3 linked regions of the Stegostoma tigrinum genome follow. The protein of the gene in region 2 binds, or shares a complex with, the protein of the main gene of each other region. Links are inferred from orthologs where the notes say so. Each region holds a gene or a part of one and is shown on either strand. Other genes may lie near its edges. The genes, in order: drc3, fbxl13 and ccdc135.

Region 1 (11,173 bases), on a different chromosome or scaffold from region 2:
ACAGCTAAGCATCAGATTGTATAATTACACAAAACCACGACAGCAGTTCGCCTGTACTATTTTTATAAGGGTCCTCAAATCAAACCGCTGTATACCGACAGTTAGATCAACATGAAGTATGCATGGCTATGATTTACTGTTGTACAACTAGGTACTAGGTATTCCCATTCCTGATTTTACACCAACTTGGATAAGATAAGAGAGGCATGATGGGGGATAAATGAAAATACATAAAGAATGTTAGAATGCTTGTGGTAACCATGTTTTGTACCGCACAAATCCTGCAATGCGGTTTGCCACGATATCTGTAGAATTTCCACCTCAATTAAATTAACTCATTGAAGCAGCTGGTTTTACTCGGGTTCAACTAATTAGCCTCCTATTGCCAATGCAGCTCCAATTTCAAACAAATTACAAAATTGCAACAGCAGCATGCAAATCACTAGAACAAGCCAACATTCTGGCAATATGTAACAAAGATATCAAACCAAACCATGTTATTTAGAAATAAGTGGCATTTTTAAACAAAAATCATAAATACTTCTGAAAAGAATGAAAGTGTCCAAAGCTTTATTGATTTTAGCTACACTAAAATGGCGAAGAGTAAATAAATTTCAAGAGAATGAAGCCAACATCTGCTGTGTGTCAGGAACAACCACGTAAACTGATAGTTTAGCCCATGTGCAGCTCAATTAATTAACTGCTGTTTTTTCCAAGTTAAAAAGTGGGTAGATTTACTGGACTGAATAATTAGTACTGACGCAAAGAATTTCTGTCGTAGGAGTTACTGTTTGCAACAAATTTCTATACCTAACTATGTGGCCAGGATGATTGTGTGCAACATCAAAAACAGAAAATTCTATACCACTGTGACAGCTTTCATATCTTCCCAGACACCATCTTGGTCACAGACAGTCTAGATTAGCAAGTAATTCAGGAAGGATTAGAAGATAGATTGTTCCAAGTGTATCAGTGGTATACTACGTTGGAAACACAGGGCAGAATACAAATTCACAAGTCCTGCAGTAGTGAATGATGGATTTTTTTTCAAATATCTAAACCACAGTCACCTCTGGCAGCAGCCAACAGTTCTCATGTCCACAAAATAAATGTCAAATTTGCAGTCTAACAGCCATGATACTGTGACAAGTTAAAAAAAACCTGTAAAATTTACAGATAGATGACTACAATGAAAAATCATCTAACTGAAAAAAAAACTAGATTTCAGCTGTCACTTCACTAAGTAGAACGAGTTTCTTAGTACAAATTCGTGAGATGAACTGCACTGCATAATACTAAGGCGCCAGTGATAACCTGACTTTTTAAATACACAGTCATCTGTGGAAATTCTAAGCATTCAGAGTTATTCTGCCAAAGGAGGAAAAGAAAGATTTAACTGCAGCAAATGGGAAATTCCTCGGCTCTCCACATCCAATTAAAGTAAAGTAGTTTCCATCCTCACTGACAATGTGTTTTTGGAAATAGGATAGTGTTACCACAAGAAGCCAGAAAACCCGACCGCTTTATATCACAGATAATAAAATGTGAGGCTGGATGAACACAGCAGGCCAAGCAGCATCTCAGGAGCACAAAAGCTGATGTTTCGGGCCTAGACCCTTCATCAGAGAGGGGGATGGGGTGAGGGTTCTGGAATAAATAGGGAGAGAGGGGGAGGTGGACCGAAGATGGAGAGAAAAGAAGATAGGTGGAGAGGAGAGTATAGGTGGGGAGGTAGGGAGGGGATAGGTCAGTCCAGGGAAGACGGACAGGTCAAGGAGGTGGGATGAGGTTAGTAGGTACGAGATGGAGGTGTGGCTTGGGGTGGGAGGAAGGGATGGGTGAGAGGAAGAACAGGTTAGGGAGGCAGAGACAGGTTGGACTGGTTTTGGGATGCAGTGGGTGGAGGGGAAGAGCTGGGCTGGTTGTGTGGTGCAGTGGGGGGAGGGGACGAACTGGGTTGGTTTTGGGATGCGGTGGGGGAAGGGGAGATTTTGAAGCTGGTGAAGTCCACATTGATACCATTGGGCTGCAGGGTTCCCAGGCGGAATATGAGTTGCTGTTCCTGCAACCTTCGGGTGGCATCATTGTGGCACTGCAGGAGGCCCATGATGGACGTGTGATTTAAAGAATGGGAGGGGGAGTGGAAATGGTTTGCGACTGGGAGGTGCAGTTGTTTATTGCGAACCAAGCAGAGGTGTTCTGCGAAGCGGTCCCCAAGCCGCCGCTTGGTTTCCCCAATGTAGAGGAAACCATTTCCACTCCCCCTCCCATTCTTTAGATGACATGTCCATCATGGGCTTCCTGCAGTGCCACAATGATGCCACCCGAAGGTTGCAGGAACAGCAACTCATATTCCGCCTGGGAACCCTGCAGCCCAATGGTATCAATGTGGACTTCACCAGCTTCAAAATCTCCCCTTCCCCCACCGCATCCCAAAACCAGCCCAGTTCGTCCCCTCCCCCCACTGCATCCCAAAACCAGTCCAACCTGTCTCTGCCTCCCTAACCTGTTCTTCCTCTCACCCATCCCTTCCTCCCACCCAAAGCCGCACCTCCATCTCCTACCTACTAACCTCATCCCACCTCCTTGACCTGTCCGTCTTCCCTGGACTGACCTATCCCCTCCCTACCTATACTCTCCTCTCCACCTATCTTCTTTTCTCTCCATCTTCGGTCCGCCTCCCCCTCTCTCCCTATTTATTCCAGAACCCTTACCCCATCCCCCTCTCTGATGAAGGGTCTAGGCCTGAAACGTCAGCTTTTGTGCTCCTGAGATGCTGCTGGGCCTGCTGTGTTCATCCAGCCTCACATTTTATTATCCTGGATTCTCCAGCATCTGCAGTTCCCATTATCACTTTTTATATCACAGCAGTTTCACACCATTTAGTTAAAAGTACTAACGAACTTAATAAGACCATAAGACATAGCAGTAGAAATTAGGCCACTCGGCCCATCGAGTCTGCTCTGCCATTCAAATCATGGCAGTTAAGTTCCTCAACCCCATTCTCCTGCTTTGTCCCCATAAGCCTTGAGAATTAAGAATCTCAGACTTAAAGGTACTCAATGACCTGGCCTCCACAGCCTCCTGTGCAGTGAATTCCATAGATTCACAACTCCCTGGCTGAAGAAGTTTCTCTTGATCTTCATTCTAAAAGGACTTCCCTTTATTCTAAGGCTGTACCCTCGGGTCCTAGTTTCTCCTACCAATGGAAGCATCTTCCCAACATCCACTCTGTCCAGGCCATTCAGTGTTGTCTAAGTTTCAATTAGATTCCCCCCCCCCCCCCGCCCCACACGATCTTTCTAAGTTCCAATGAGCATAGTCCCAGAGTCCTCCAACATTGCTCATTTGTTAAGCTTTCCATTCCTGGGACCATTCTTGTGAAACTCCTCTGAACCTGCTCCAGGACTAGTACATCCTTTGAGATACGGGGCCCAAAACTGCACACAATACACCAAACGTGGCCTGACCAGAGCCTTATAAAGCCTCAGGAGTACATCTCTGCTTTTATATTCAAGTCCTCAAAATAAATGCCAACATTGCATTTGCCTTCTTCACTCCTGTCTCAACCTACAAGTTTAGCTGGACTAGAACTCTCAAGTCTCTTTGCACTTCAGACTTCTGAATTTTCACCCCATTTAGAAAAGAGTCTATGCTTTTATTCTTCTTACCAAAGTGCACAACCTCACACTTTCCCATGTTGTATTCCATCTGCCACTTCTTTGCTCACTTTCCCAACTTGTCCAAATCCCTCTGCAGCCTCCCCACCTCCTCAATATGACCTGTCCCTTCACCTATCTTTGTATCATCTGTAAACTTAGCCAGAGTGCTGACAGTTCCTTTATATAGATCATTAATGTATAAAGTAAAAAGTTGTGGTCCCAACCCTAACCCTTGTGGAACACTGCTTGTCACCAGCTGCCATCTTGACAAAGACCCCTTTATTCCCACTCTCTGCTTTCTGCCAGACAGCCAATTTTCTATCCATGCTAACACCTTGCCTCTAACACCATGGGCACTTATCTTACTCAGCAGCCTCCTATGTAGTACCTTATCAAAAGCCTTCTTGAAGTTCAGCTAGATACCATCCATTGGCTCTCCTTGGTCTACCCTACTCATTACTTTTTCAAAAATGGTTAAAGGATGGTTATTTGCAGGTAACGACATTCAAATTTAGGAACAGACTGAAAACTTGGACATCAGTTGCAGTTTGGTGTTCGCATTTTCACTTCTGGAATCAGAAGGTCATGGATTCAAGTCCCAATGGACAATACAAAACCTACAGTGTACCTCATTGCAGTTGAGGAAAGTGCCATTTTTGATTTACACAGTAATTTGACATGTCCTCTCAAGTGTACTTCAAATTATTCAATGACATTATTTTTAATACCAAGAGTAGAACCCTGGTGTCCAAGTCAACTTTACACTTCAACCAATTCCACCAAACCATTATCTGGTAATCACCACACTGTTGCTTCGGATGACCTTGCTATGCACAGAATGTATTCTGTATTTCCTATGTATTAGCAGCTAATATCTTCAGCAATAACTCATTTCCTGGAAATTATTAAAGGTCACAAAATTGACTATATATTAAATTTATTTGTTGCCAACACAAAATTATCAAACACTTGGTGCAACATGGATCATTGAGAAGTCAAGTAAAACAATGCACAAGTGCATATTGGATACAAAATCAAATTTTGCTTAATCACTTTCATTAGTTTCAGAATGTTCTTGGGGTTCTTCCAATGAGCTTTTGTACTCAGGTATGTATTAGCCTCAAATATCACTAACAAATAGAGCTCTTTCTGGTATCCAGTTGTTATATCAAGCTTAAATGGGTCTGCAAGACAAAACAAATATCCTTCTTCCCTTGCCACAAGGGATCAATGATCAAGCACTGTATAGCAAGTATATGCACTGCTGCAAAAAATCAAGTTCAATCTTCAATGGCCAATTCTTCTGCAACCTCCAGTGGGATTTTCCATTTCTCACAGCAACAATTTTGTTGTCTGTGAAGAGGATGCCAGTTTAACAGTAAAAATTAAACCCACTTAAAACAGGGAAAAAATGCTTTTTCATTTCAAGCAAAATATATAAAGCTTGGAAATTAATTCAAAGAATTAGAATTTCCTTGCATTATAATGATTATATACATAACTATATACTTAACCAGAACAAAAGTAAAAATGGCTGCCACAACCTAAAAACAATTGGTTAAAATTGCATCCTTTTTGTTTAAGATAGATTTGGATATCTACTGAACTGAGCTATCTTTCAGCAAACTAGGCAGCTTAAAATTTCATTTAGGTACAAAACACGGCACAGATGTACCAACAAGAAAAAAAGACAAGCTGAAAGAAAAAAACATTATTTTAGTTTTAGGAATCTTAACAAGCCCAAACACTACTGGTGCCAACAAGGTCTACGAATCTTTAATAAAAACTGAAAGAACTGCGAAATCAGAAACAATCACAGAAGTTGCTGGAAAAGCTCAGCAGGTCTGACAGCATATGTGAAGAGAAATCAGAGCTAACGTTTCATGTCTGGTGATCTTCCACAGATATCAAATCATTAATTTAGTAAATTTTGTATTAAAAATCCATCAAGATCAAATAGATCATGTATTTCCATTAAATAACACACCTAAGCCTTCATTTACATCAGTTATCTTCAAACAAAAAATTATTTATTTTTGATCTATTTAACAGATGATTCAACTTTGACGAAGAAAAACTTACAAATGAATCTGCATTTTGTGTTACATTTTCGGTGTTGACTAGAGCTCACTTAGCAAGTTAGTAGTACTTTGGAGCAATCAGCCAGAACAGACCAGCGTGATGAGTACTGTGTTATACGCATGTGTCATTCGACATTTTGCAACAAAATTAGTAGAAACCAAATTGCAATTCTAGATCTTAGGTAAGTGCTTGCATTCAACTGTCAAAACTGCATTTTATTTCGTTTGCCGGAAAGCGGATACCACTAGAAAAATAAAATCAAAACAACGAAAGGAATACATTATCACAAACCGTACTCGCTGATGTCAGGCGCAAGTTGTATGAGGCAGGACTCAAAGTAGACAGGGCAATTTGACAGCTAAATTCCAATGTGTAAGCAGTTGAAGAACTTTACAACACCCATATGTAAAATAATGATACATAAGCCACCTTGAACCGTGTCGCTTTTAAATGACATTGCAAATGTGTAAACAAACACTTATTTTTTTGGGGGGGGCGCGGAAACCTCTTCTTTTAGGCTGTGCGAATCCTTGAAAAACATTCACGTATCAGTTTTATAATAACTTAAAATAATTACTTTCCCGGCGGCATTTTTTAAAGAAAAAAAATCAAGCAGACTGTGAAGCAAATTAAATGCCAGAAAAATGACACGGCATTCCGAAGAGATTAATTTCAAAACGAGACAAATATTTATAATACTTAAGAAATGAAGTGAACGTTTACAAAACAACTAGATTATGTTTTAAGATTGACTGTAAACTACAAGGCTCGCACCTATACATTGTCCAACGGGAGTACTATACGGGTTCCCAATGAAGAACTCCATCTTGACGCTTCCTCCACAAACATCCAATGGATGTGGGTGACGTCAACTTCGCCTCAACCGAGCTTGATGGTGCGAGCTGAAGCCCGTTCCTTTCTCTCACTGATTGGCCAACAGCGCGCATGTCCCCGCCTTCTCCAACATATCCCATACGGTTATTGGTCAATCGCCAAGTCTGTCAGGCGTCCCGTCAAGTCAAGTTCGCTCTCGTCTTTGGATGATTATTTTGCCTCTCCATCGTTAAAATTATATTTTAAAACGAGTGATTTTGTTTTACATGTTCTTTTATTGTACAACGCTACAGTTAGTAGTTGAACCGGTACGAATCCTATCTCACGATGTTGCTACTGAAGAGGGTGGGGGCCTAGGTCATGTGATGTTTATCCTAGCAACCGAGTGAAGCTCTGCCCAGCCAGGCTACAGTCAAGGAATATAGTAGAAGTAGCTGAATATATACAGGTAAAAGTTCAAATTGTTGATAGGGTAGGTCGTGTTTCTGTCCGCAACAGATTAAACTGCTAATGTCTTCTTTGAGTAGCTCTTCCATTTGTACGTCCAGTGGTGAATGTTGATCACTCAAAACCAACTCGACTGGCTGCGACATAGTCATACAGCATGGTAACAGACACTTCGGTCCAACTCGTCCGTGCTGACCAAATATCCCAATTTGATCTACTGCCATTCGTTGGCATTTGTCTCTTATCCCTCTACACCTTTCCTATTAACATACCTATTAAAATGACTTTTTAATGTTGTAACTGTACCCGCCTCCACCGCGTCCTCTGATGAAATTGTACATTTCCAAACCAAGAGCACTTAATACAAACCTAAAATACTTAAATCGAAAGTGGACAATTCGAATTGCTAACACCTTTGATTATATTGCATCTAAAATTCAAAAAGGCTAATCGATCTATATTCACTCAAATTTTCATCTGAAGATGTGCAAAAGAAGTGCTACTTAAGACAAAGATGAGATGGAATTTGCTCTCTGAGGGTAGTTTCTATAACAAACACAAACGAAAATAGCTGAAGAAACCCAGCAGGTCTGGCAACATTTGTAGAGAGAAAACAGAGTTAAAATTTCAAGTCCTGTGACCCTTCTTTATAACTAGAAACAACTAACTGCTTAAAATTTTGAAGGGTCACAGAACACGAAACATTAACTCTGATTTCTGTCCAGAAATCGTGCCAGATCAGCTGAGTTTCTCCAACTATTTCTGTTTTTGTTTGTTTCAAATCTCAGTATGCATACTTGGTTTTGTTTTAGGCAGTTCCTACAGCCAACGCCAGATCCCCAAGACAACTAGTCCACTGAGAATTTGATTAACACGGAAGACTTCCAGCACCACAGCAGAATTTTGTGAGCCCTCAGCTGTGAGTGACCAAAATACCCAGAAAAGCGTCGAGAAAAGCAAAAAGTGCTGGAGAAACTCAGCAGTTCTGGCAACATCTGTGGAGAGATAATAGTATCAACATTTTTTTGAGTTCAGAAACCTTTTGCCTGTTCTTACAAATGGTGAGTAGCCTGGAAACATGAACTCTTATTTTTCTCTGTAGTGATGTGGCAAGTTCTGCTGAGTTTCTCCAGTACTTTCTGTTTTTATTTGTTCCAGCTCTCTAGTTTCCACAAGTCTTTGTTTTATTTAAAGATATTGAGAGAACTTATCAGGAATGCACAACAATGGAGATGAGGTATCAAAGGTAGTGTACAAAGCTCCAAACATCCCATCCATCTGCTCCTTCAAATATCACAGTTGCAACTGTGGCAGAATCTAGGAGATCACATGTTCGATGAAGCCTAATGCAAGCTGGTGGAATAGCACCACATTTTCTGTTGAGGGACTTTAGAGCTTGTAGTAATCAAAATTGACTTAACAACTTTAAACCATGAACTTTGTCCTCTATTATTTATCCTGACCAGCATCTCTCCAATGTCTTATTTGCATAAGTTAGCTCTCCATAGAGCTGACCTCTTTTCTGCCAGTATGCCTACACTTCATCCATAACTCAACTATCTTGAGCTCTCAGTGACATCAGTTTTATTTGTAGATCTGAATTGTGTGTATTAAGAAGTGAAAGACATAGCTTCAGTTTCATTTTTGAATTCTGTGGATGGTACATGGTTGTCTGAAGATTTATTTACATTCATTAAAAATAGATTGATTTTTAGCTTCAGAATTGAGTATACCTTCAGCCAAATAGTTCAGTGCATGCAAAACAAGAAGACAGAAAAATGTGGCGCTATTTCCATGGAACAAAGTACCCATAACACAAGAGACAGAATAAGTTTATTTAGAAAGTCAATGAAACAAGCTGGCCATTTGGAGAGAAAAGGCCTATAGCATCAGCAATGTTGTTTAGGATTCTCCAAAACAGATGAGGGCAGAAGAACAGAAATCTGGAGTGATTTAGAAGTTAGTAAAAAGAAAACTCCAGAAATGAATTATAGCCATGCCAACTGAAAAATGAATGTTAAATGTTAATGTGGAGATCATGTGATCTTCAATAAACTTTATATATCTGTAAGGTTGCCATTGAGAATGTTTTTAAAATTTGTAATAAGACCATTTAAATAATTATTGTGTAATGTTAGTAGTGTAGTAGTTAGTGCTTTGTTCCTTTTTTTCTAATAACCCTGAATGTTCTTTTGTTAAAAGTACTTTGGTAACCTTGCGAACATGATCAATGATCACAATGATGAACGAATAGCAAGAATGAAACTTCTGATCTATCAAGCCAGATTTCACCCTGGAATCCAACTTATCCAGTATTGCCACAAATCATAAAGTTTCATCATGGTTTTAACTTTTCAACCTTACCTGGCCTGTAGAACTTGCTATCATGTTCATTGGACATTAGAAAATAGAGTCATACAGCCAGAAACAGACCCTCTGGTCCAAATCATCCATGCTGACTAGGTTTCCCAAACTGAACTAGTCCCATTTGCCTGTGTGTACCTCGTATCTCTCTAAACCTTTCCTATTCATCTACCTGTCAAAATGTCTTGTAAATGTTGTCACTGTACCTGCATCTGCCACTGGCAGTTCATTCCATATATGCACCACCCAGTGCGTGAAAAGTTGCCCGTCAGGTCCCTTTTAAATCTTTTCCAGCTCACCTTAACACTGTGTCCTCTAATTTTGAATTTCCCTGCCCAAGGGAAAATGTCTTTGCTATTCATCTTATCCATGCCTCTCATGATTTTATTAACCTCTATAAGATCATCCCTCGATCTTTTATGTGCCAAGGGAAATAGCCTCAGCCTCTCCTTGATAACTGAAACCGTCTAGCCCCACCAACATCTTTGTGATTCTATTCTGCACACTTTCCAGTTTAATCACAAATTTCCTATACCAGGGCCTCACCAACATCTTGTACAGCTGGAACACAGTGTTCCCACTCGAGTACTCAGGAGTCTGATCAATAAAGTTAAGTGTGCCAAACATCATCCTAACTACCCTATCTACCTGCAATTCCACTTTCAAGGAACAATGTTCCTGAACCCCTTGGTTTCTGTGTTTGACGATACTTCCCAGGCCCTATCATTTACAATGTAAGTCCTGCCCTTGCTTGGCTCACCAAAATACAACACCTTGCATTTATCTAAACTCCATCCATCCATTGACCCAGCTGATCAAGATCCTGTTGTACTCTTAGATAACCTTCTTCACTTTCAATTATACCCCCAATTTTAGTTTCATCCACATATTTACTAATCATGCTTCCCATATTCTCATCCAAATCATATCCTTAAATGATGAAGAACAGTGGACCCAGCATTGATCACTGCACTTACGTCCTCATAAAAACTCAGTCAAATTTGTGACACACAACTTCCCATGCACAAAATTTCAGATCAGACAACATCTGTGAAGTCGGGAACCTCACATTAGATAGTGCCTCACTTGCTGAGCATTTCCAGCACTTTCTGTTTTTATTTAAGATTGCTAGCATCTGTAGAATTTTGAGTTGTTTCAGTATTGGATTAAGTAGCACAGTTATTAATCAAACCAATAAATGTTTCTCAGAGTTCAACAGCAAGACTGCCATAATAGATACATTTTTCTACTCCCTGACTAGGAAATACTGAGGAAATTGAAGGCAGACAAATCCTACTGCGTATTTTTAGTAATGCATAAAACTTAAAGTAGCTTTTGAATTTCTTGCAATTTGCTACTGTTTGTTGTTGCCTCATTTAAAAAAAAACTGGAAATACCAATTATTTCACTTGCCTCCATTTTCAAGTAAGCGGAGAGTGAATCTTTCACAAGTAGAGTTGTTTACTCATCCGTTAAAAGATGTATGAAAATATCTGAGGGAGACAAGCTTTTGCTTTGCCTCTTTACAATGTTCTACATGACAACTATTGATAGTTGCAGCAACACCAGATATTCGTTGTCAGTTCATAATAATGTAATGCAAGAAATGATTATTTATTTTAACCAATATACCTTTCTCTCTTTTAAGTAGATACACCATTCAAGATGAGTCAACTTTATAAAACAATTGAGCCCAGTGTAATTGATGATGAAATGCTTGAAGAGGCAGTGAAGAAACAAGGGCCACCAGGAAAAGCTGGGCAAATAGCCCAGTTAGAAGGAAT
Region 2 (11,064 bases):
TGTCTGGTGGTGGCATCCTGTTAGAGGTGGCGGAAATGGCTGCTAACAATATATATATATAGTTCCAGCATCCTCAGTTCCTTATTTTTGTTCAGATGTTTTGTAAATCATCTAAAGAAATTTGCAGAAATCCAAGCATGTAAGCGACTTTACAAAGTTGCTATCCAATATCTAACATTGGTGGTCATTTTCGGTCATGCAGCCTGCTTTTGAATAGATTCATTATTTTTTAATTGATGTAGTGTTAGGAAGGAGAGGTTGAACCCCTCTGATGATTAAAATGGAAATACAAGCCCACAATCTGTTCCAGCAGGAATAAAGGTCCCTTCCAGTAATTAAACCTAAAACACCCAGAGAAGCTTGCCTCACCTTGCCTCATCTGTTACGGAGAAGGGGAGGGTAAATGAAAGAAAATCCCTGATATTCACTTCATAAGTAACAAGTAAAAATTTATTTATTTAACCCTAACAGTGAACAAATTAACAGAACTGCTCACAAGCCAAACAAATCATCCCTAACTCTGAACTATTCGCTAACTGAATAAAATTCTACTGGTATGCTATTCCAATAAATACAATTCACACTTATATATCCCAAGTAGGAAGAAAAAAAACTTTATCTCTCAATAACCACACAGAATGTGTCTTCCAGAATACTCTGATTTCTCCACTGTCTCTCCAGTGATAAACGCTTTTCTTCTGCTGTTCTCAAGTTATTAACACATTACTTCCACAGATCCTGCTGTCAGGGATGCTTTCTCTGTGAAGACTCTTAGCTAAAAATGCCATAGTGCCTTTTATGGATAAGATAGTGCTTTCTTAGAGAGTTTAGCTATTTCTTGTGTGAGCTAGGCGTTTATTTCTCAGATGGCAGTTTTCAAAAGCCCTCTCCTTATTTACCTTGGATGACATAATTTTTTTTAATAATTGCATCGGTCCGAGTCTGTCAAAACTATCAGTTTTAAGTCAACTGGCTTTCAATCGCTAAATGCTCGGTAAAAATTAATTGGCTGATTCCAGCTCGTTGTCAAAACACCAAAACATGCCTAAGGCTTCTAATCACACAGCCAATTGATACATATTTCCATTTCAGAACTGGCTGTACAACTTCAGCTATAAACAGAGACTTTTTTTTCTGTATTAATCTCCAAGCTTAGAAAAGAAAGCATTTTGTCTCTTAAAGGAACCACACACTGTTCTCCCTTAACATTTTTTTCAAACAAATTCTAGATTCCTGCCTTCCAATTCATGATTACTCTACACAACTTTGCAACAATAGAAACATTCTGATTAAATAGATGAGGGAATGCTGAAAATACACAGCATCTGAAAGAAAGTGGGTAGAGCTCAGCTGCACCTTCAATAGTGAAGTGAACTTAAACTGAGATATCTTGATAACAAAAGTGTGGAGCTGGATGAACACAGCAGGCCAAGCAGCTTGGCCTGCTGTGTTCATCCAGCTCCACACTTTTGTTATCTTGGATTCTCCAGCATCTGCAGTTCCAATTATCACTGAGATATCTTGATGTCGGCCAGGGGCTGCAGAAAAAGACAGAGAGAGGGTTACAAACTGCCAACATGCTGCAGAGAAATACTGAATGCAAAATCGCTGACACATAGAAGAAGCAGTTTGTGAAATAAAACATAACCTGAGTCCAGGTACAGGTCTGAGCCAATTGAAACCGGTTTTTACGAACTATTTGGACAACGAATAATGAGGTGAGACTACAGGTAAAGGCATGCGACAAGTGAATGAGCCTGAGCCAACAGAGAAGAGGCAGCACAGCTTGAAAGAGATAAAGAAAGGTGCAAGAAGAAGACTCCTGGGCATGAAGCTAGCAAAATCTCTGGAGATTAACCTTTGCAGAAGTGAACACAACATTAAGAACATGGTGATGACATCTAGAGAAAGAACGAGAACAGAACGCCTGGCCAGTGTCAATCCTTGTCAGCATCATAGATCATAGAATCCCCACAGTGTGGAAATAGGGCCTTTGGCCCAGCAAGTCCACACTGACCCTCAAAGCATCCCTGCACACCCATCCCCCTGTAACTCACCTAATCTACACATCCCTGTATACCATAGGCAATTTAGCATGGCCAATCCACCTAACTTGCACATCTTTGGACTGCGGGAGAAAACTGGAGCACCAAGAGGAAACCCACACAGACATGGGGAGAATGTGCAAACTCCACAGTCACCAGAGGGTGGAATTGAACTCAGGTTCCTGGCACTGTGAGGCAGCAGTGCTAACTGCTGAGCCACCATGCCACAGCTATCCTGCCCAAGTATTAGCCTTTATGTTCTGTGATTTCTCAGGGAATGTCAAAGGAACCCAGTCGGCGTACAACTAGCTTCTAGCTTTTGGTTAGTGCCAACAAACATGCAACTACATGTGTATTGTCGAACAGCATTAATAAAATGATTTCTGAGTTATGTGAGAATTGACTCTTCTCCCCCTAGTCATGATCGCCAGGCTCCAACATTGTGCTGAAGTTTTTCAAACATTTTTGTCATACAGAAAAGCATTTTCATTACAATAAGACAATGTATGATGTTAGAATCTTTTCTTAAAAATTGCAAATCAAGTTTTATTACAAATCAAAGATAATGGGAACTGCAGATGCTGGAGAATTCCAAGGTAATAAAATGTGAGGCTGGATGAACACAGCAGGCCAAGCAGCATCTCAGGAGCACAAAAGCTGACGTTTCGGGCCTAGACCCTTCATCAGAGATGGTCTGATGAAGACCCTCTGATGAAGGGTCTAGGCTCAAAACGTCAGCTTTTGTGCTCCTGAGATGCTGCTTGGCCTGCTGTGTTCATCCAGCCTCACATTTTATTATCTTATTACATCTTATCAAGTTCCCTTGAAAAACTTGCCTGTAATTAAATTTCAGAAAATACAAACCCAATCCCAGAAGCAAATGAAATTCTGTCACAAAGTAATTCTAAACAGCTAGCAGTTACACAGATAATTGTGACTTCATAATTCTGAAAAGATATTCATTTGTGCTGGCTGTAGCTGCCTTATGGAAATATTCTGGCGACTATCGTGATAACATGCTCTTTCATCATTTACTTTAATTTTAACTGCTACTCACTACAAACTTAAACCAAAGAAATCAACTTAATTTAAAGAGCGAAGTTTCAAATTCCAACCCAAAGACACAAACACCAAATCTAGACAGTATTAATTCCAATGTATTACTAACAGCACTCTGAAGGTCTTGTCTTTTATGCAGCATGTAAAGTGGAGATCTTATCTGTCTTCTCTGGTGAATGTGAAAGATCCGATACTAAGTACAGGGAGGAGTGTGCAGCCGAGGTGTGACAGTACTGGATATGTGAGAGCAACATACCTGCTCCATTGCGAGCAAGGACTTGGACTACAGGTGTTGCTACATTTCATGTTCTCTGAATCTATGCTGCAGAAATCATCCGATCCAGCTTCTATCTTATGTGGATACCAATGGTGGATTGTTTCTGAAGGGATACCATATGCAAAATTCTGGATAGAAATGGGAAAAATGTACCCAAAATCACTCTACCTGTCTTGTGTGTGGCTACATGAAGCTGTGCGCACAAACAACAAGTGTCATTACATGCTAAGATTCTACCTGTCCCTGGCATTGCAAAACATGGGTTCTGGCTACGTTGTGACATAAAGCTCCAAATTGTCAAACCATAGAATATAACCTGTCCCTCATGGAAAAATTATACGGAAAAGCATGTTGACCATCAAGCAATGGTCAGCATGTAACATACTAATGACCATATGAGAAAAGGAGATAGTTGATCCTGTCAGATGGTTTCTGAGCAGAAATGTCAAAGTTATTTAGTAAGATGGGCACTGCCTATCAGATTGTTCATTCATGCATGATTGAAGTCTCTGCATTCCACGCAATCCTTCAAATGGTTGTGGTGACTAAGAGAGCATTGCAAATCTCCTTTTGGAATGTGCCCTTGCAAGGAAGATCTGGGGATAGATAGTGATTTTGTTAATGTAAATCCTGTGCAGATCTATAGTGCAGAATTTTATGTTCCACGGGTTGTTCTCAGGAGGCACATACTGAGGCAAAGATCATGATGAAAAGCACTTTCTCGTTCTGTCCAAATCCTGGTAGCATTCCAATGCAAAAAGTTATCCTCAACAGAATGTTCCATATGGACAAGTTCCAAGGTCCAGGGTTATACGTTAAAAATTGCATTAAGCTTGTAGTGCTTCAAAACCTTTCGCCTGCAGTGAAACAGGGAGCTGGTGACTTACAGGACTTCTTGGGCCGTATGCTTGCCACTGAATGCATAGAGCAAATGTCACGCGCATTGGGTTGAGACATCTAAGAATGAAACATGTTCAATGGGGGGAAAATTATAGTATACAGCATTTTCATCAGTATCCAATTCGAAATATTTTGGAATGAACCTTTGAATATTTTACGAAATTATTAGTGCAACATTAAATCTTTTTTTTCGTGATGAAGAGCTCCAAATTTTCTCCAGTGTTCTGGCGATTACTCAACCTTCAGCAATTAAATACTGAGAAAAAGAATTGGTTGTTCGGTTACACTGCGCTGTTTGTGGAATCTTACTGTGCGCCAATCGTCTGCCTTTTCCGGCCATTACAATAGTAACTATATTTCAAAAGCATTTCAACGAGTCGACCGAGAGTCGTTGGAGGCACAATACAAATGCGTGTCTTTTATTAATGTCTGAATATGTCGAATAACTATAATTAAACCTGCTAATGTGATATAAACGTGTAAGTGCTAATTAGTTGTCAGATGGCGGCAGTATAATTTAAACTTTTACGTAGGTGCTTACTTTACACTGGTTACAGTGATTTCGTTCAGTTTGCTGTGACTTTTTCCCGCATTATTTCTATCCGGCTGAACGCTGGACAAACAATATTTCCAACACACGTACCAAATGCAAAGCGGATTTTTTAAAAAAGAAAAGGCAATGAATTACCTCATAAATCTGGGGGAGTGAATGTGATTTGATGTAGTCTTTCAACACGGGATCTGCGAACTTTAAGAACACCATAGCAGCAGCTCGAGCGCAGCTTCACTGTCAGGCGAAAGCGCTCGTGAACACCGCCTGTTTACTGTCACCATAGTAACAAGCTTTGAAAAGGAAAGACCAACCGCCACCGCAACGGCTCCACAGCCAGAATTCCGTATTTAGAGATTTCCAATCTTGGTGACGGGCTCTTTTACCTTTTTAAAATTCACAATCCCTTTCAAACGCACCTACTCAACATGTATCACCCCCCCCCCCCAGGGAAAATCCACAGTTTATTCGAGATAATAAAGTGTGGAGCTGGATGAACACAGCAGGCCAAGCAGCATCTTACGAGCACAAAAGCTGACGTTTCAGGCCTAAACCCTTCATCAGAGATCAGTTTGAGAAGACTCCGACATAGTTCAAATGCACGACGTCTGTGCTATACTTCCTCGCTCAACGTTAGACGCTACGGAGGCAGATCTATAACTTGCAAATCAGTCGATTGGGATAAGTAAAATTTGAAACAAAATCCATTACTGTCCGAAATAAACTCTCATCGGCGTCTGGAGAAAATAAATTAGTCCACTTATCAGAGCCGATTTGATATATTGTAAATTCAACTTGGTTAGCACGTCTAACAATTGGCCTTAACCACAATGAAACATTTCTGACAAAAATCACGAATTAGGCAAGTGACTCCCTTTGCAGCTTACTTTACAATGCACTGTAGATGCGTAACATAGTAGCCCACCGCATGAAAAATGTCCAAATTTCCTTATTTATTAAAATTATAGTTCAACAATGACATTATATGGTAACTTTTACAACAATCCAAGTACTGGCTAACACTGCGGAAACTAACTTTATATTCCAGATTTTTTAAAAAACAGTCACAATGATGGTGATCATGAAATTATCATTGTTGTAAAAACCTATTTGATTCATTCATGTACTTTAGGGAAAGAAATCCACCATTCTTGGCTGATCAGGCCTGCATAGGACTTCAGACCCATAAAAATGGGTTATTCTCACTTGCCCACTGAAGTGACTTGCAAGCCACACAGTTTTTACTGTATTTACAGATGGGCAACAAACATCTATGAGAGAATAAGAAAAAAAGGCAATTAATGCTGTGCTTTCTATCTGTATTCATTTTTTGTACTAAATCAGCAATCTATGACTGGTAACATTTATAGAACAGACATTCCAAAAGTTGGCAAGAGGTGGCAAAATTCAATTCCACCAACACTTAGAGAAAGGTTTGTTGCAAGGTTTTCAATCAACATGTAGGAGCTCAAGGTTACAATTATTTTAAGAAGGAGACAGATAAGAAAAGAAGCATGCAATGTGTTAAGCAGTGCGGTAAAAGGCAGCTGAACTACCCAGGCTTTGTACAGTAAGGGCTCAGGGAATTCCCAGAGGAGTCGAATAGTTTTGTGTGGTGAAGGCTCCCAGACGTTTTGGGAGCAGAGCGGGCTCAGAAGAATCCACTTGCTATGAGACTGCTGAGCCAATAACTGTTGTCAAGGGAGGTAACTGGGCAACGCCCACCCGAGGGAAAAGACCTTTGTTATTCGCCTTATCTATGCCCATCATGATTTTATAAATCTCAATGATATCACACCACAACCTCCTACACTACAACAAAATCTTTATACTCTTCAAGAGATTCATTTGATCCCAGTTCTGTATATCTAATATATGATTTTTTAAAATTCTTGACCAGAAGCTCAATATCTTTATTCATCCATTGTTTCCTAATCTTACCAGTCTTGCCTTTCACTCTAACAGGTACATAATACCTCTGAACTCTTGTTATCACACTTTTGAATGCCTCCGGCTTGTCAGTCCTCCCTTTGCCTATCCCAATCAACTTTTGAAAGTTCTTGTTACATACCCTTACTCCAATTATTAACTTTAACTTCTATGGAAGACTTATCCTTAACTATTTTAAAACTAATAGTGTTATGATCATTGGTCCCAAAGTGTTCCCCTACTAACAATTCAGTCACTTAACCTGCCTTATTTCCCAAGAGAAGGTCAAGGCTTTTTTATTCATTCATGGGAAGGGTGTGTCGCTGGCCGGCCACCATTTATTGCCTGTTCCTAGTTGCCCTTGAGAAGCTATTGGTAAGCTGTCTTCTTGAACTGCCGCAGGCCTGCTGTTGTGGGTTGACACACAATGCCATTAGAGAGGGAATTTCAGGAATTTGACCCAGCAACAGTGAAGGAATGGCAATATATTTTCAAGTCAGGATGCTGAGTGGCTTGGAGGCGAACTTGAAGGTGGTGGTGTTCCCATGTATCGGCTTGACTTTTAGATGGAAGTGGACATAGGTTTAGAAGGTGCCATCTGAGGATCTTTGCTGGGTTTCTCCTTCTCTAGTAGGAATATTAAATATTGATAAAGAAAATTTTCTTGAACAAATTTAACAAATGCTTCACCATCCAAACCTTTAACATTATGGCATTCCATGTCAATGTTATGGAAAAATAAATCCCCTATGATTACAGCCTTATTATTCTTACATATATTTGAGATCTTGCTACATATTTGCTTCTCAATTTCTCTGTGACTGTTGAGGAGATTATGGTACAATCTCATCAAGGTGATCATCTCTTTCTTAATCCTAGTTCAACCCATATGTTTTCACTAAATGACCCCTCAAAAATATCTTCTCTAATTACAGTCGAAAGATTTCTCTCCACCAAAAATGTGATTTTCCCTCCTGTCTTGCCTCTCTTTCTATCCTTCCTATAATATCTAAAACGTGGAACATTGAGCTGCCAGTCCTGTCCTTCCCTCCGCTAAGTTTCTGTAATAGCTATGATGCCTTCATTAGCCTCACCTGTAAAACATGTTGCATCAAAATAAATGCAGGTTAATTCTTCAGAGTTACTTTGCTCTCTGACATGCTCTTGTCTAATTAGCTTAGAGCTTGGGGAGAAAATAAAAAAACCTTGGGCAGTTTGAGTTTGTTGAAGTTCCTTTGGTAAGGAGCTGGAATTATGCTTTTGAATGAGTAGTGGAAGGCAGTTTCATGGTTGGAAGGTGAGGAAAGTGGGATGCAAATGCAGGAAAGGATGATGATTGACCAGAACAGGAGCAATTGTTGAGGCAGTCTATGTCTGAATGATTCTTGAGAGGGAATTCCAGGGCCAGATCAGCAAGAATCCATAATTGTAACCCCTTATGACGTATAATGAGATTTGGAAACCCAGTGTGTAATTAACATCTGTAAGGAATTGTTGAGAAATCCATGGTATCTGTCTGGATTGCATTTGCTACTTGATGTTCGTTGAGGATATGCGATCAAAATAGCTTACCCCTATTTATCACATGTTAATTTTGGGTGTTAGAAATAAGCCGAACATATTGTAGATTGTATCACTATTCTAACATTGTATAGTAAAGTTTATGGTCGTTATTGTGGAGTCTTGTGGCCTTTTTCTCAGAATGAGTCCCCTGGATGTCACATATTGTCCATGTTGAAAATATAAGTTACAGGTCCTTAGCCAGATCATGACATAAACTTGACAGTCTGGAACTGGATCATAGCAGTATCATTAAGTAGCGTGCAGCATATTTCAAACTAAATGAGCAAATAAAATAATAACCACAAGTGGAATCATTGTCATACCAACATATAGAAGGTCCAACAATGGACGGTGCTGTGTTGGACATAGTTCTGGGAATCGCAGCCGGACAGGTGTTTGAGGTAGCAGTGTGGGGAGGGGAGGTATTCAAAAAGGATTTGGGGTGAGTATAGGCTCAATATGTTCCCTTTAGGGTGAAATGAAGGAGAAACAAATCCAGAGAACCCTGGACATCTAGAGATATCCAGAACTGTAGAAGAAGGAAAAGAGAGGCTTTTAGCAGGTGCATGGGAATAAATGAGCAGCAGCCATGGTGGAGTGTAGAAAGTGTGGGTGAAACTTAAAGTAATGAGGGGAACAAAAGGGGTCTTGAAAAAATATTGGCCAGTAAGGCTGGGGAGAATCCCAAGGTATTCATTAAGTATATTAAGGGGAAGAGGATAACCTGGGAAAGAGTAAGGCCTATTAGGAACCAAGAGGGCAATCTGTGCATGGAGCTGGAGGACATTAGTAGAGTATTAAATGTACTTCACATCTGTCTTCACTAGGGAAGAGGAAAATATAGGTACAGAATTCGGGAAGAGAGAATGTGTAGTTCTTGAGCATTTTGATATATGGAGTGAGGAGGCGTGATAGATTGGAAAAGGGGATAGTGTAATGACCTGAATAAAATTGTATACAGGTTGCTGAAAGTAAGCAGGCAGGTGCAGTAAGCAGTGAAGCAGCCAAATGATATGATGATCTTCATTGCAGGGAGGATTTGGTACTGGAGCAGGCATGTCTTGCTGCAATTACACAGGGTCTTAGTAAGACTACACCTGGAATTTTGTGTGCAGTTTTGGTCTCCTTATCTGAGGAATGATGTTCTGGCCATGGAGAGAATGCAACAAAGGTTAGACTGATGCCTGGGATGGTAGGATTGTTGTATGAAGATAGACTGAACTGGTTAACACTACGTTCACTTGGGTTTAGAAGTATGAGGGATGATACATACATACATACAACAAGACAGCACAGAACAGGCCCTTCGGCCCTCATTGTTGCGCCGACATCCTTCCTCTCGCAAGGAGACCAAAATCGATGGCAGTATTCCAAAAGCAGCTGAATCAATGTCCTATATGGCTGCTAAGTGATCTCCCAACTCCAATCCTCAATGCACTGACCGATAAAGGCGAGCACACCAAATGTCTCCTTCATATCCTTTCTACCGGTGGCTGTACTTTGATGGAACTACGAAACTGCACTCCAGCGTCTCTTTATTAAGCAACACTCCCCACAAACTTCAGTGTATACGTGCTGCCCTGATTTGCCTTTCCAAAATGTAGCACCTCACATTTATCTAACCTCAACTCCATCTGCCACTCCTCAGTTTATTGGCCCTTGTCAATGTCCCATTGTATTCTGAGGTGACCTTCTTGGCTGGCTACTACACCTTCACTCATTGGGAAACTTACTAACCACACCTTCTATTTTCATATCCAAATCATTGCATCACTTCAACTCCCCCTCCCACTCCCTGAACGACATGTCCATCCTGGGCCTCTTCCAGTGTCACAACCACACCACCCAGAAACTGGAGGAGCAGCACCTCATATTCCGCCTCGGGAGCTTCCAACTCAATGGCATCAATATGGACTTTGCCACCCTCAAAATCTCCCCACCCGTCCGCCTCATCCCAAGACTAGTTCCTTCACTCATCCCCGCCTCCATGATCTGTCCGCCTTCTCTCCCACCTATCCACTCCTCCCACCTCACTGACCAACTCTCACCACTGCTTGGAATTATTATTCTTTTCACACTTCATCAGCTCGACGTTATTTCTAAAATCTATTTTCCAATTTTGGAAAAAGTGAGATAAAGAGAAGTAAAAGAAGTTACATTCTTACCACTCTTGAAATCTCTGAATATTCTCTTGTAGAAACCTGTAAAATTCTAACAGGATTAGATACAGAAGAAAATAGGAAGGATGTTGCTGATCACCAAGGAGTCCAGAACCAGGGATCACATTCTAAGGATATGGGACCATTTAGGACTAAGATGAAAAGAAATTCTTCACTTAGAGAGTGGTGACCCACTGGAATTCCCTGCCAAATCATTTGGTATTTTCATGAAGCAGTTAGTTATAGTTCTTAAGGGATCAAAGGGTATGGGAGAAAGCAGAAGTAGGGTACTAAAGAGGATGATCAGTCATAATCATATTGAATAGTGGAACAGGCTCAAATGAATGAATGGCCTATTCCTGCTCCTATCTTCAATGCTTCACCCACAGGCTCTTTGATTTTAATTACCTTTCCTGTAGTCTACTTTGCACAGATCCAGCAGCTTTGACAATATTTAACTGCATTCATACCCATGCCGGGCTATCACAAATAGAACTCACTTGTTGCAGATTGGTAATTCTTCCTTGTTGTGCAGTCCCATGGCATATTTCAAGCAAATTTTGCTCATCCTGGAGTTGCTAC
Region 3 (10,466 bases), on a different chromosome or scaffold from region 2:
ATGGCCACCCCCTTAGTCTGTAGGAAGTGGGAGGAGTCAAAAGAGAAGTTGTTGAGGGTGAGGACGAGTTCAGATCATTGACATGGATATTATTATCCTGAATGGGAGCACCAATCACCACGTACATGGTGGGTGCTCATGTGGCTCAGTCAACGTTGTCTATCTCATGCGCTGCAGGCAAGGATGCCTCAAGGTATCGTATATTGGCAAGACTATGCAGATGCTATGACGACGGATGAATGGATATTGTGTAACGATTGCTAGATTGTTCTGTCTCAGTGGGGGAAGCACGTCAGCAGTCAAAGACAGTTGGCTTTGGATCTTTGTCCTCCCAGGCGGACTACAGGATACACGACAATGCAGGGTTGCTAAGCAGAGTCTGATAGCCAAGTTCAGTACCCATGAGGATGACCTTAACCAGGTTCTCGGTTTCATATCTCATTACAGGTGACCCATCACACTATATACTCTCACACACACACACACACACACACACACACACACACACACACACACACACACACACACACACGCTCTCTCTCTCAAGCATGCACACACAAGCTCACACACTCTCTCAAGCATGTATGCACATGCAATCACATATAAATCTATGGGGTGAATTTGCATTTGCAGATTGGTAGCGGTAGATACACTCTATTTTGTTCAAACAGCGCTTAATTTGTAGACTGTCAGACTCCAAGTTGATATACCGCCAGATTCTAAACAAGGCCTGACGCCGAAAGTGCCTTGTCAGGCCTGGATTGTCACTTCTGGTACACTGAGGGAACTCATAAAACCTTTAGTTATCGCGGAGCAGTGACTTGAAAGAAATTCAGGAATTTGCGTATTAATCCTTTGTAACCGATTAAAGATTAAACAACCATCTTCAGTTTGTTTAACACCACATCAGTTATATAACCGTTTGATCTTTTGCTTATAAATTCTGTGTCTGATGTTACCTCTCTCACTGACACCTGAATAAGGAGTAAGACTCCAAAAGCTCGTGTTTTCAAATAAACCTGTTGGTCTATAACCTGATGATCCTGTGTGATTCATATATAGGGCCATACAGATCCCCCTGCACTACAGCATACTGCAATTCTGTCACTGCTTAAATAATACTCCACTTTCCAAATCTTCCTACCAAAATGTAAAACCTCACATTTTCCTGCATAATGCTCCATCTGCCATTCTTTTGCCCAAAATCCTTTTATAAACTACATGGTCTGCTTTTGTCCTCAGAGACAAGAGGCATGAGGCAAGTTCAGTTTCGAGAAGGAAACCCAGTCTTTGCCAACATGTTGGAAAACATGGGTCTATGGCCTATTAAGATGTATCTGAGTAGGGAATGAAGGTGGGTGGTTTCCCGAGGTATGACCCTTACCAAACGTATCACACTGGGCTTTCCGATAAAATTATTGATGAATCGTGAGCCTCAATAAGGCTCAAAATGTATTTTGAAATGCAAATGTATTTTGCCTACACTCTCAATGATAGAAAACTTTACCCCACCCACCCTCCAACTTACCCTAGCCTTCACCTAAACTCAACTCCCCTACCCCATCTCTCTCCACCACCCCTCTGCAGGAAGTCAGTATTACTTACAACTCAGCTTCTATTCTCTTAACTTCCAACAGCTGATAATGGGAGGGTTATGTAGAGAGCTTTTGAATGTTCACACTGTGGCATCAACTGCCAAACTCCTTCTCACAGAAAACACAATCCAAAACTATGGCTTCTCCCTGTCAGAAATCCTGTCTCCCCATAGTTACCATTCAATATCTGACTTCTGCAGGAATGTAAGACTTCTCCTGGATGTGCTGGAATCAATTCCCAGGTACTGACCTCATTAATGGCCAACATCTGCCTTTTTAAAATACTACTTTGCCCTGGTATGAAGCATCAGTAGAACCTGTTGATCAATTCACATTCAGGTCTGGCCTCACAAAGAAACCATTGTTTGTTTCTTCATTTTTTTTTTAAAACACTTGCAGTTGCCCAGCCCGCAGATCATTTTCAGCTCATAGTTCTCAGTTCATAGCTCCAAACCAAAATTGATAAAAGAATAAAGTAAAAATGATGAAAAATAAGCAAGTATTCTAACACGGCCATTACATTCTTAATAGTGGATTCCAGAATTTTCCCAGTGAGGGATACTTAGTCTGACTAATTGAGACATAAAAAACAAGAGCCATTCGGCCCTTTGAGCCTGCTCCACCATTCAATATGTTCATGTTGTTTATCCAACTCTGTACTCAGGCCCCGCTTTGTCCCCATAACATTTGAACCCCTCAGCTTGAAAAATTGTCGAACTCCTATTTGAAATCATTCAGCATGTTGGCTTCAATGTCTTTATGTTGTAAAGATTTCCACAGGCTCACTAGTGAAGGAATTTCTCCTAATCTCATTCCTAAATGGCCAATCCCATATCCTTAGACTGTGTCCCTGGTTTTGGACGACCTGATAATCAGGAACATCCCTCCTGCACTTATCCTGCCCAGTCCTGTTAGTATTTTATAGGTTTTTATGAGATTCTATGTGATCTTTAATTTTCTACTTTCTACCTCACTGGTCTCTTGACTGGAGATTTTACATTCGGGTTTTACAATCAGCTAGGACCGCTTCAAGAATCCAGGAATTTTTAGGAAACTTTCAACAAATGCATCCATTATCTCTGAAGCTGCTTCGTTTTAGACCCTCTGACACAGGCGATCAAATCCAGTGAACCTATAAGACTTCAGTCCCATTTGATTTCGTCATAATTTTTCTCTGTTGATTATGATTTTTAAAAGTTTCTCCCCCCATGGGTCTCCTGCCTGTCTGTTTGTCTCAGGATGTGATTTATGACTTCAAGGCCATTATGCACATGGTCGGTCTGGAGCTGTCCTGCACGATTATTTGCTCCAGACACGGCGGGTAAGGGAAAAATGATGGCCCAAGGGAAAAATGAGACCACTCTTTGCAGACAGGGACCTGAAGGGCCTGGTTGACTGGGTTAACAGAAGAAGACTGTCCTCTTCCCCCAAGGACCAGAGGAGGCCATGACACCAGCTTGGTAGATGTTGGCCATTAATGAGGTCAGTACCTGGGAATTGATTCCAGCAAGTCTGGGAGAATCCTTACACTCCAGCAGATGGTAAATATTGAATGGTTAAAGGGTGCCACCTGGGTCAGTGTGGCCTCCCAGGTCAGGAGAAACACCCAGCATAAGTTACCTCAAAGAGTGGTTCTGATTCAAGTCAGCCAGCGGGTCCCAGTACAGTAAGACAAGGGCATCACCTAATCTGAGTCCAGGGGCTTGATCACAGTCAGCTGCCTGCTTGGGGCAGACATAGTCAAGGGTCCATTTCACTGAAGTCTGGGGAGAAAGCCACATTCAGTCCTGCAGATCCCATAGAAATAGTAAGGAGTTTCACAATTGGTTAATGGGGGGGGGGGGGGGGGTAGGGGGGTGGTGGGCTGCACACAGATCATTAAAGGGTCCGGTCAGTCATCAGTTGGGCTGCCCTTTAAAGTCAATCAGCTGGTAGACCATGATCAGTACTGAGGATTAACAGAATGAAAGTCAACAGAGCACGGTGGTTTTATCAGGGAAGACTGTGCTAGGGAAGTTGAGGAACTCAATGCTGGGGATCATAGGAGGAAAGTGACATGGAGGTTCGGCTGCACCCTTTGATTACCAGGCTGAGCCTAAGACTCACTGTGCCAAGTATGACCTGTATTGAGTCCAATATTCAACTGACCCCTCGATGCGAAGTGCAAACAGAATATTGGTGCAACCACATCCAGAGTAGAGTCAGAGGTTTTACTCTGTCTCCACACATGGGTTCCATTTGTGAATAACCTGAGGCCTTTCAAGGTATAACTGCACTGATGGGGCAATTAGTGCAGGTTGATGTTATCTATGATCATAATGTCATGCACGTGAAATGCATCCTGTGCAACAGTATGGGGTACAAGTGCTGGTCACAAGCAATCTTGACCATGTCATTTGTTGTTGTAGATTGAAGATAGTCATCTTTGTGAAGCAGAAGTAATCACAGGTGACCTTCAGCACAGAATACTGCTAAATGGCAAAGGCTGCACAAGGGCATGAAACTGATTCTCTATCACCTTGACCCGCAGGTATTCGTTGATGTGATCTTATATGCAATGGCGCCTTTCTTAGGAGAAGTGGGGTTGGGAGGACAACTTCTCAATAGTCATGCAGCACGTACAATCTCCTGTATTCTGTTTATGTCATTACTGGAGGTGCATTACTGAAATAAGCCAAAGGGTCATGGAGAGGCATTCCTTGGCCTTCTTTGTTGGAGTGCTCCATGACTCACTGTATGGAGGACTGTGCCAAATGGTCATTTGTGACGGATATGAAGGCTGATTGCTCTTATCATGAAAAGCCTATTCTGTTTCTTATGTTCCTGGCATAGATGCTTTGAAATGTGATTGATGAATCCAGTCACACCAGGATTATTGCCACTACTGTTGCACTATAACAAAGGTGAGGAGTAAGGTTGAGAAGGTGGGATTTTCATGTTAATTTCATCCGGTGTGAGACCTGAAGGAGTGCATGGTATCCTGTCCTGATGGTTTTCAAGGTGATAGTTGCATTGAACTTTTATGCGAATGACTCCTTTCAAGGAACCACTGAGGACCTGCCAGAAATCTCTCAATCCTTGACTCACAAATGCAATTTGTCACCTATGCAACTTCTGTCAGATCACACCACTTCCTCTCGTTTCCCTGTGATGAGGTCAGTGGCCCAGGCACTAAGCTGTGGCAATATCAGCGGCTTCCTCTTGGTGCAGGGCATTTCAGAGATTTGAGCAGATAAGCTAATTTGACACTCCAGGCTCAGTCAAGAGCAAGAGGTGCTGTTCTCGGGATGAGATGCTAAACCGAAGCCTTCTCCAGAGGGTGCAAAAGACCGCCTGGTATCATTCTCCCCCTGGAAGAAGAGCCAGATTGTTTTCTAGGGGTCCCGCTGGGAGCTGGTGCCACCCTCAAACCCCATAAATTAAGGTGAGTAATTATCAATTCAAAAATAATCCTTTTCAAAAATGCAGGTGCACATAGCTTCTCTTATCTCTCTCATTTATTCCTGAAACAGCGGCAAAAATGAACCACTTCCTCCCTATTTGTAGAAACTTGTTCTTTATATTGTCAAGATCAAACTCTGTGCAACTACACACTCTCAGCACTTTTAGACTGAGCTACCTTCCTAGGTTACAAGTAAAAAGAACAACTAGTTTGTTCATGCACCAAATTAAAAATTGTGTGAAGAAGTACACAGAATAAATACATAATAAATTGAAATAATGTTAATGATGATCCTTTACCTTTGTGCTTCTCAAACAGTCTAAACTGTCGCTTTTTCTGAGGCTTTTCCTTGAAGGTGCAAGTGCCTCAGGCCTGTGATGTTGATTGGAAACCAGTTTAATTAGCAACCAGTGCTTAGCAACCAGTCCCTAGCAACAACCATGGCAACAGGCAGGACACTCTGGGCATTGTAGTCTTTTCCGGTCAAAACTGAGACCACTATCAAGACAGCAGGCCAGAGATTACAACAATAGCAACCACATAGATTCATATAACACCTTTAATATGAAACATCACAAAACACATCAGGGTAGGGGGGACTGTGAGATAAATCATGACAACGAGAACCACATAATATATCAAGTTAGGAGACCAAAGGCTTTGTCAACAAGGTAGGTTTTAATGAATGAGTGGATGGATTTAGGATGGATATTCCAGAGCTCGGGGCCAAGTTAACTGCAGGAATAATTGATTAAAATTATGGCTTCGCAAGAGGTCTGAAATAAAGAGGTGCGGATATCTTGCTGTGGGTTGTGTGGACAGAGCAGATTATGGAGACAAGGAACAGCAAGGGTATGATAAATTTGAAAACATGGAAGTGAAATTTAAAGTCAAGATGTGACTTGAGCGGGTGCTACTGTAGGTCACTAAATGCAAGGGATGAGGGGGAAGGGGTTTTGATATGGGAATAGGGGAAATAGAATTTGGATGAGCTCAAGTTTACAAATGGTCGAGACTAGCCAGGAAAAAGGACACGTGGTAACAGATTTTAAAATTGTTTTCATAAATTGCTGGTGGTAGCTTTTGGGTGACAGACAGTGCATGTTTGGTGGCTTCCTGCTCAGGCCAATTAGGCCTCACAGATTGTTCACTTTAAGAGATGATCTTGACCACAACTTGATTTTTCCTACGGTGAGATGACAGAGGTGGGGTGTTGATGCCGCCCTCAAAACCCTACCAATGCAAAAATAATTATTTTCAACAACATATGTGCACGTAGCTTCCCTTATCTTTATCATTTTATCTCCCAAGACACATTGGGGCACAAACTTCCCTAGCGCTGAACAACAGGGGTGTTCCTCAAACTCGGAAAAATCATGAAAAATTGATAGGGAGGAGCTTCTGGATATCAAAAGCAAAGAAAGTCCCAATTTCCAAAGAAGTGTTGGCTAGCAGGATAAGATTACTGAGACCAACAAGATGAGAGGTTAGATTAATAAATCTAAGGAGCAACTCGTCAGATTTTTAATTAGTACTTGATTGAAGGATTATGGAAAGTGAACAGGAAAGTGGAGTTGAGGGATAGTTGAGATCAGGCATGATTGTACTGAATGGCAATGCAAGTCTGAGGAGCTGAGTTTACTACTTCTGCTCCTGGAAACTCCTGCTCCTAGATTTTTTTCACACCAGTATGCAGAGAGGTCTTTCATTGTTATTTCATTTTGCTTAATGTATATGACAATTTTCACTCTCCCATCTGCCAGACAGACAAAGTCAATTCACATAGCAGTTAACTGTGAAAGGCTTAGAGGGGATAGAATTCTTAAAATGTGTCTGGCAGATTACTTAAGCTAGCATTTTGCAAGTCTGATTCAGAAGGATGGCGATGGATTTACTTTGAAGGAACGAAGCTGAGCAAGTGGAAGGTATGTCAATGATGAAGCATTTTGGTGATAGTAACCATAATTCCAGGTAATTACAAATAAAGACAAAGATGAACTGGAACTAAAGGTTCTGAAATGGGGAAGGCTGATTTTAATAAGACAGGATCTGGCCAAAGTGAACTGAGAGCAGCTACTTGCAAGAAAATAGCGGGAGACATTTAAAATGGTAAACATGAAAGCACAAGGCTAACATATTCCCATGAGGTGAAGGGTGGAAACTACAAGCCCAGAGTAACCTGATGTGTAGAGTTGGATGAGGGGAGACAAACAAGAAGGTTATGGCAGATACCAAAGGCTGAAAACAATGTGTGACCTGGAAGAGTATTGAGAGGGAGTTACTGAAAGAATAATAGAACGAGGAAGGAGTATGAGAAGGCACTGGCGGGTAGCATTAAGGAAATCCAAAGGTGTTTTTTTGAGTATTTTAGGGGGAAGAAACTAACAAGAGAAAGAGTAGGGCCAATTAGGCACCAAAGTGGCAATCTACATGTGGAGCCGGAAGACATAACTGAGGATTTAGAAGATTACTTTGAATCTCGATTCACTATAGAGAATGACGAGGTAAGCATAGAAATCAGGGAGGGCGACAGTGATATGTGAACAAATTGACACTGAGAAAGAGGTATTAGCAGTTTTTGTGGTCTTGAAAGTAGATAAATCCCCAAGCACAGATGAAATGAATATCAGGTTGCCATGGGACACAAAGGAGGACATTACAATGTGCCCTGACATTAATTTTCGAATCTTCTCTGGCCACAGCAGAGATTCCAGAGTACTGGAGGACTGTTAATGTAATACCATTATTCAAGAAGGGTAGTAGGGATAAACAAGCTACAGGCCAGAGTCTAAGATCAGTGGTGGGAAACTATTGGAAAAGTTTCTGAGGAACAGAAATAATCTCTACTTGGGGAGATAAGGATTAATCAAGGCTCATGAGCATGGCTTTGTCAGGGGAGATCATATTTGACTGCATTTTTTTGAGGAGGTTACTAAGTGTTGGATGAAGGTACAGCTGTTGATGTTGTCTACATGGACTGCAGGTGGGCCCTTGATAAGTTCTTGCATGGCAGACTGGTAAAGAAATTTAAAAGCAAACATCCTACAAGGCAATTTCACAAATTGGATCCAAAATTTGCTACATGGCAGGAAGTAGAAAATGATGTTGAAGAGTGTTTTTGTAACTGGTAGCCTGTGTCCAATGACATACCACCGGGTTTGGTGCTGGATCCCTCGCTGTTTGTAGTGTACGTTAATGATCTAGACATGAATGCAGGTGGTTAATCAGTAAGTTTGCAGATAACACAAAAACTAGTGGTAGGATAAATAGCAAGGAGGAAAGCATTTAACAGGACAGATGGGGAGATCAGTGGCAAATCAAATTTAATCCTCCAAAGTGAAAAATGATGCATTTTGGGAGGACTACCTGGTAAGGAAGTACACAAAGAATAGTAGTATCCTAGGAAGTACAAAGTATCAGAGCATCCTTTGTGTGCATAAAAATAGATCCTTAAAGGAAGTAGGAAAAAAAATAAGATGGTTAAGAAGACATAAGAGATAATTACCTTTATTTGCAAAAGCATTGAATACAAGGGCAAGGAGTTTATTACGGAGATATATAAAACATTAGTTAGGCCACAGCTGGTGTACTATGTGCAGTTCTGGTTGCCATACTATAGGATGAATGTGGCTACACTTGAGAGGGTGCAGAGGAGATTCACCAGGATGTCACCTGGGCTGGACTAAATCAGCTAAGAAGAGAGATTAGATAGTCTGAGGTTGTTTTCCTTGAAGCAGAAAAAGCTGAGTGGGGACTTGACTGAAGTATACAAAGTTCTAGGGTACATAGATAAGGTGGACAGGAAGAAATCTTTCTCCTCAGTACAGGTATCAATAACCAAAGGGCACAATTTTGAGGTCAGGGCAGGAGGTTCAGATGGGACTTGAAGAAGGTTTCATTGTACATTGAGTAACTGACTGGCTGAACAAACTATTGTCTTGAGTGAGTGACTGAAAGCAAGGCTGATGCCTTTGTGCTGGAATGTTACATGTCATAACATCATGTAACTGTTTTGAAGATACATGCCTGTCTGATTTTCAATCTATTCCCAGAGACTTCTGCTTTCTCCCATTTCTGGTCTCTTGGGGATCCTTGTTTATAATAACTCATGTTTGCCAGCTGTGCCTTCAACTATCAGTAGTGGGTTCTATTTCTTCCCTGCAGTGCTCCATTTTTCCCATTGTCTTTAAAACACTTATTAAAATCTATCTCATTGAGCAAGATTTTGGTAATTTTTCCTACTATCTCCTTAGTGGCTCATTGTCGAATTTTGTTTGATTACATTTGTGTGAAGTGCTTTGGGATTGTTTAATGATAGTTGTGGTGCTAATGTAAATGTAAGCTGTTGTTTCAGCATCTCCCCAAATTCGACAGGTCGAAGGAGAATTGGTCAAGGTCCTCAGACTTCAGTCATGGACCTCCCCAATAGTCACAGTTTCCTTTTGAAGTCACTTTGCATCACTGTTTTTGTTTAGTTTGGCAGGCTTTAGTTCTGAAAACTGACTGTGACATTTAAGAGAAAAGGCACAAAGTATTATGTGATGCTATTGACTTCTTGAAAGGTTGACTGTAATTCCTAAACATAAATCCCAAGAAAGGGCATGTGATTCTAGTCTGGACTGAATGCAACGGTCTGCTGGTTAAAATGCCAATGCTTTGGGGGATTTCATTGTGAGTGAACTGGATTAGCATCAGTCAACTTAACATGTTTAGATCTTCCAAACTATGTTGGAATTCCTGTATTCAACTCAGTTCAGGAAAATAATGAACTACTTGCCTTCCTATGATATTCAAGCTCTTTGTTGAGAGTGTCTACATCAGAGTCAGATAATCGAGGCTTTCCCACAGGTTAATCAACCTGTTCCGAATTCTATTGTATATCTCTAGACCAAGCAAAACGTGAATCCAGGTCCTTCTGGTTCAGAGGCAGAGACACTACACTGCATCACAAGAGACCCTAAGTTCCACTGTCCATCACACAAACATTGATGATAAACTGTATGTTAATTAAAGACAGAATACCTCCATGCACTGTGAAACTTGGCCTAGATATACACCATGTCTAAATAGTGTATTGTGTAACTTTTCCATACTGCAGAAGCCTCACCATTTTAAGGACCTTGGGATTTGCAGCCTAAGAATTTAAGGAATCCAGAAGACAAATTCTAAATTAAAATTGACGGAATCAAATTTAGATTCCTCAACATTCATTCATTGGCTTTCTTTTACTGGCCTATTTATGCTTTAACCAGGATCAGATGAGGATGAGAAACATCAAGAACCTGGTGTTATGAAGTCTAGATATCTTTTCAAGACAATTATGTTTTAAAATGCCCCTTTAAATTTAAGGTGGCACAGAACATTTTGCAAATGGGGAGAAGAAAGGATTTGTGAGAAATGGCAAACACCTCCATGCAGAGACACACTAG

The links.
Region 1: fbxl13 (region 2) and drc3 share a complex: the UniProt entries of both Homo sapiens proteins name them as parts of the nexin-dynein regulatory complex. The link is inferred for Stegostoma tigrinum from reciprocal best matches to the Homo sapiens genes FBXL13 and DRC3.
Region 3: fbxl13 (region 2) and ccdc135 share a complex: the UniProt entries of both Homo sapiens proteins name them as parts of the nexin-dynein regulatory complex. The link is inferred for Stegostoma tigrinum from reciprocal best matches to the Homo sapiens genes FBXL13 and DRC7.

Annotation. Positions count from the first base shown.
Region 1 is NC_081376.1:20,124,029-20,135,201, forward strand, and holds the start of drc3 (dynein regulatory complex subunit 3), read left to right. Parts: upstream 1-6,756; 5' UTR 6,757-6,886; exon of another isoform or gene 6,887-7,026; intron 7,027-7,837; exon of another isoform or gene 7,838-8,086; intron 8,087-11,037; exon of another isoform or gene 11,038-11,040; 5' UTR 11,041-11,054; coding exon 11,055-11,173. Other genes in the region: tom1l2 (TOM1-like protein 2), read right to left, coding at 6,519-6,570. UniProt on the Homo sapiens protein: Component of the nexin-dynein regulatory complex (N-DRC) a key regulator of ciliary/flagellar motility which maintains the alignment and integrity of the distal axoneme and regulates microtubule sliding in motile axonemes.
Region 2 is NC_081378.1:23,972,119-23,983,182, reverse strand, and holds the start of fbxl13 (F-box and leucine-rich repeat protein 13), read right to left. Parts: upstream 5,066-11,064; 5' UTR 5,045-5,065; coding exon 4,970-5,044; intron 1-4,969. UniProt on the Homo sapiens protein: Substrate-recognition component of the SCF (SKP1-CUL1-F-box protein)-type E3 ubiquitin ligase complex.
Region 3 is NC_081363.1:81,622,096-81,632,561, reverse strand, and holds the start of ccdc135 (dynein regulatory complex subunit 7), read right to left. Parts: upstream 5,423-10,466; 5' UTR 5,337-5,422; intron 1-5,336. UniProt on the Homo sapiens protein: Component of the nexin-dynein regulatory complex (N-DRC) a key regulator of ciliary/flagellar motility which maintains the alignment and integrity of the distal axoneme and regulates microtubule sliding in motile axonemes.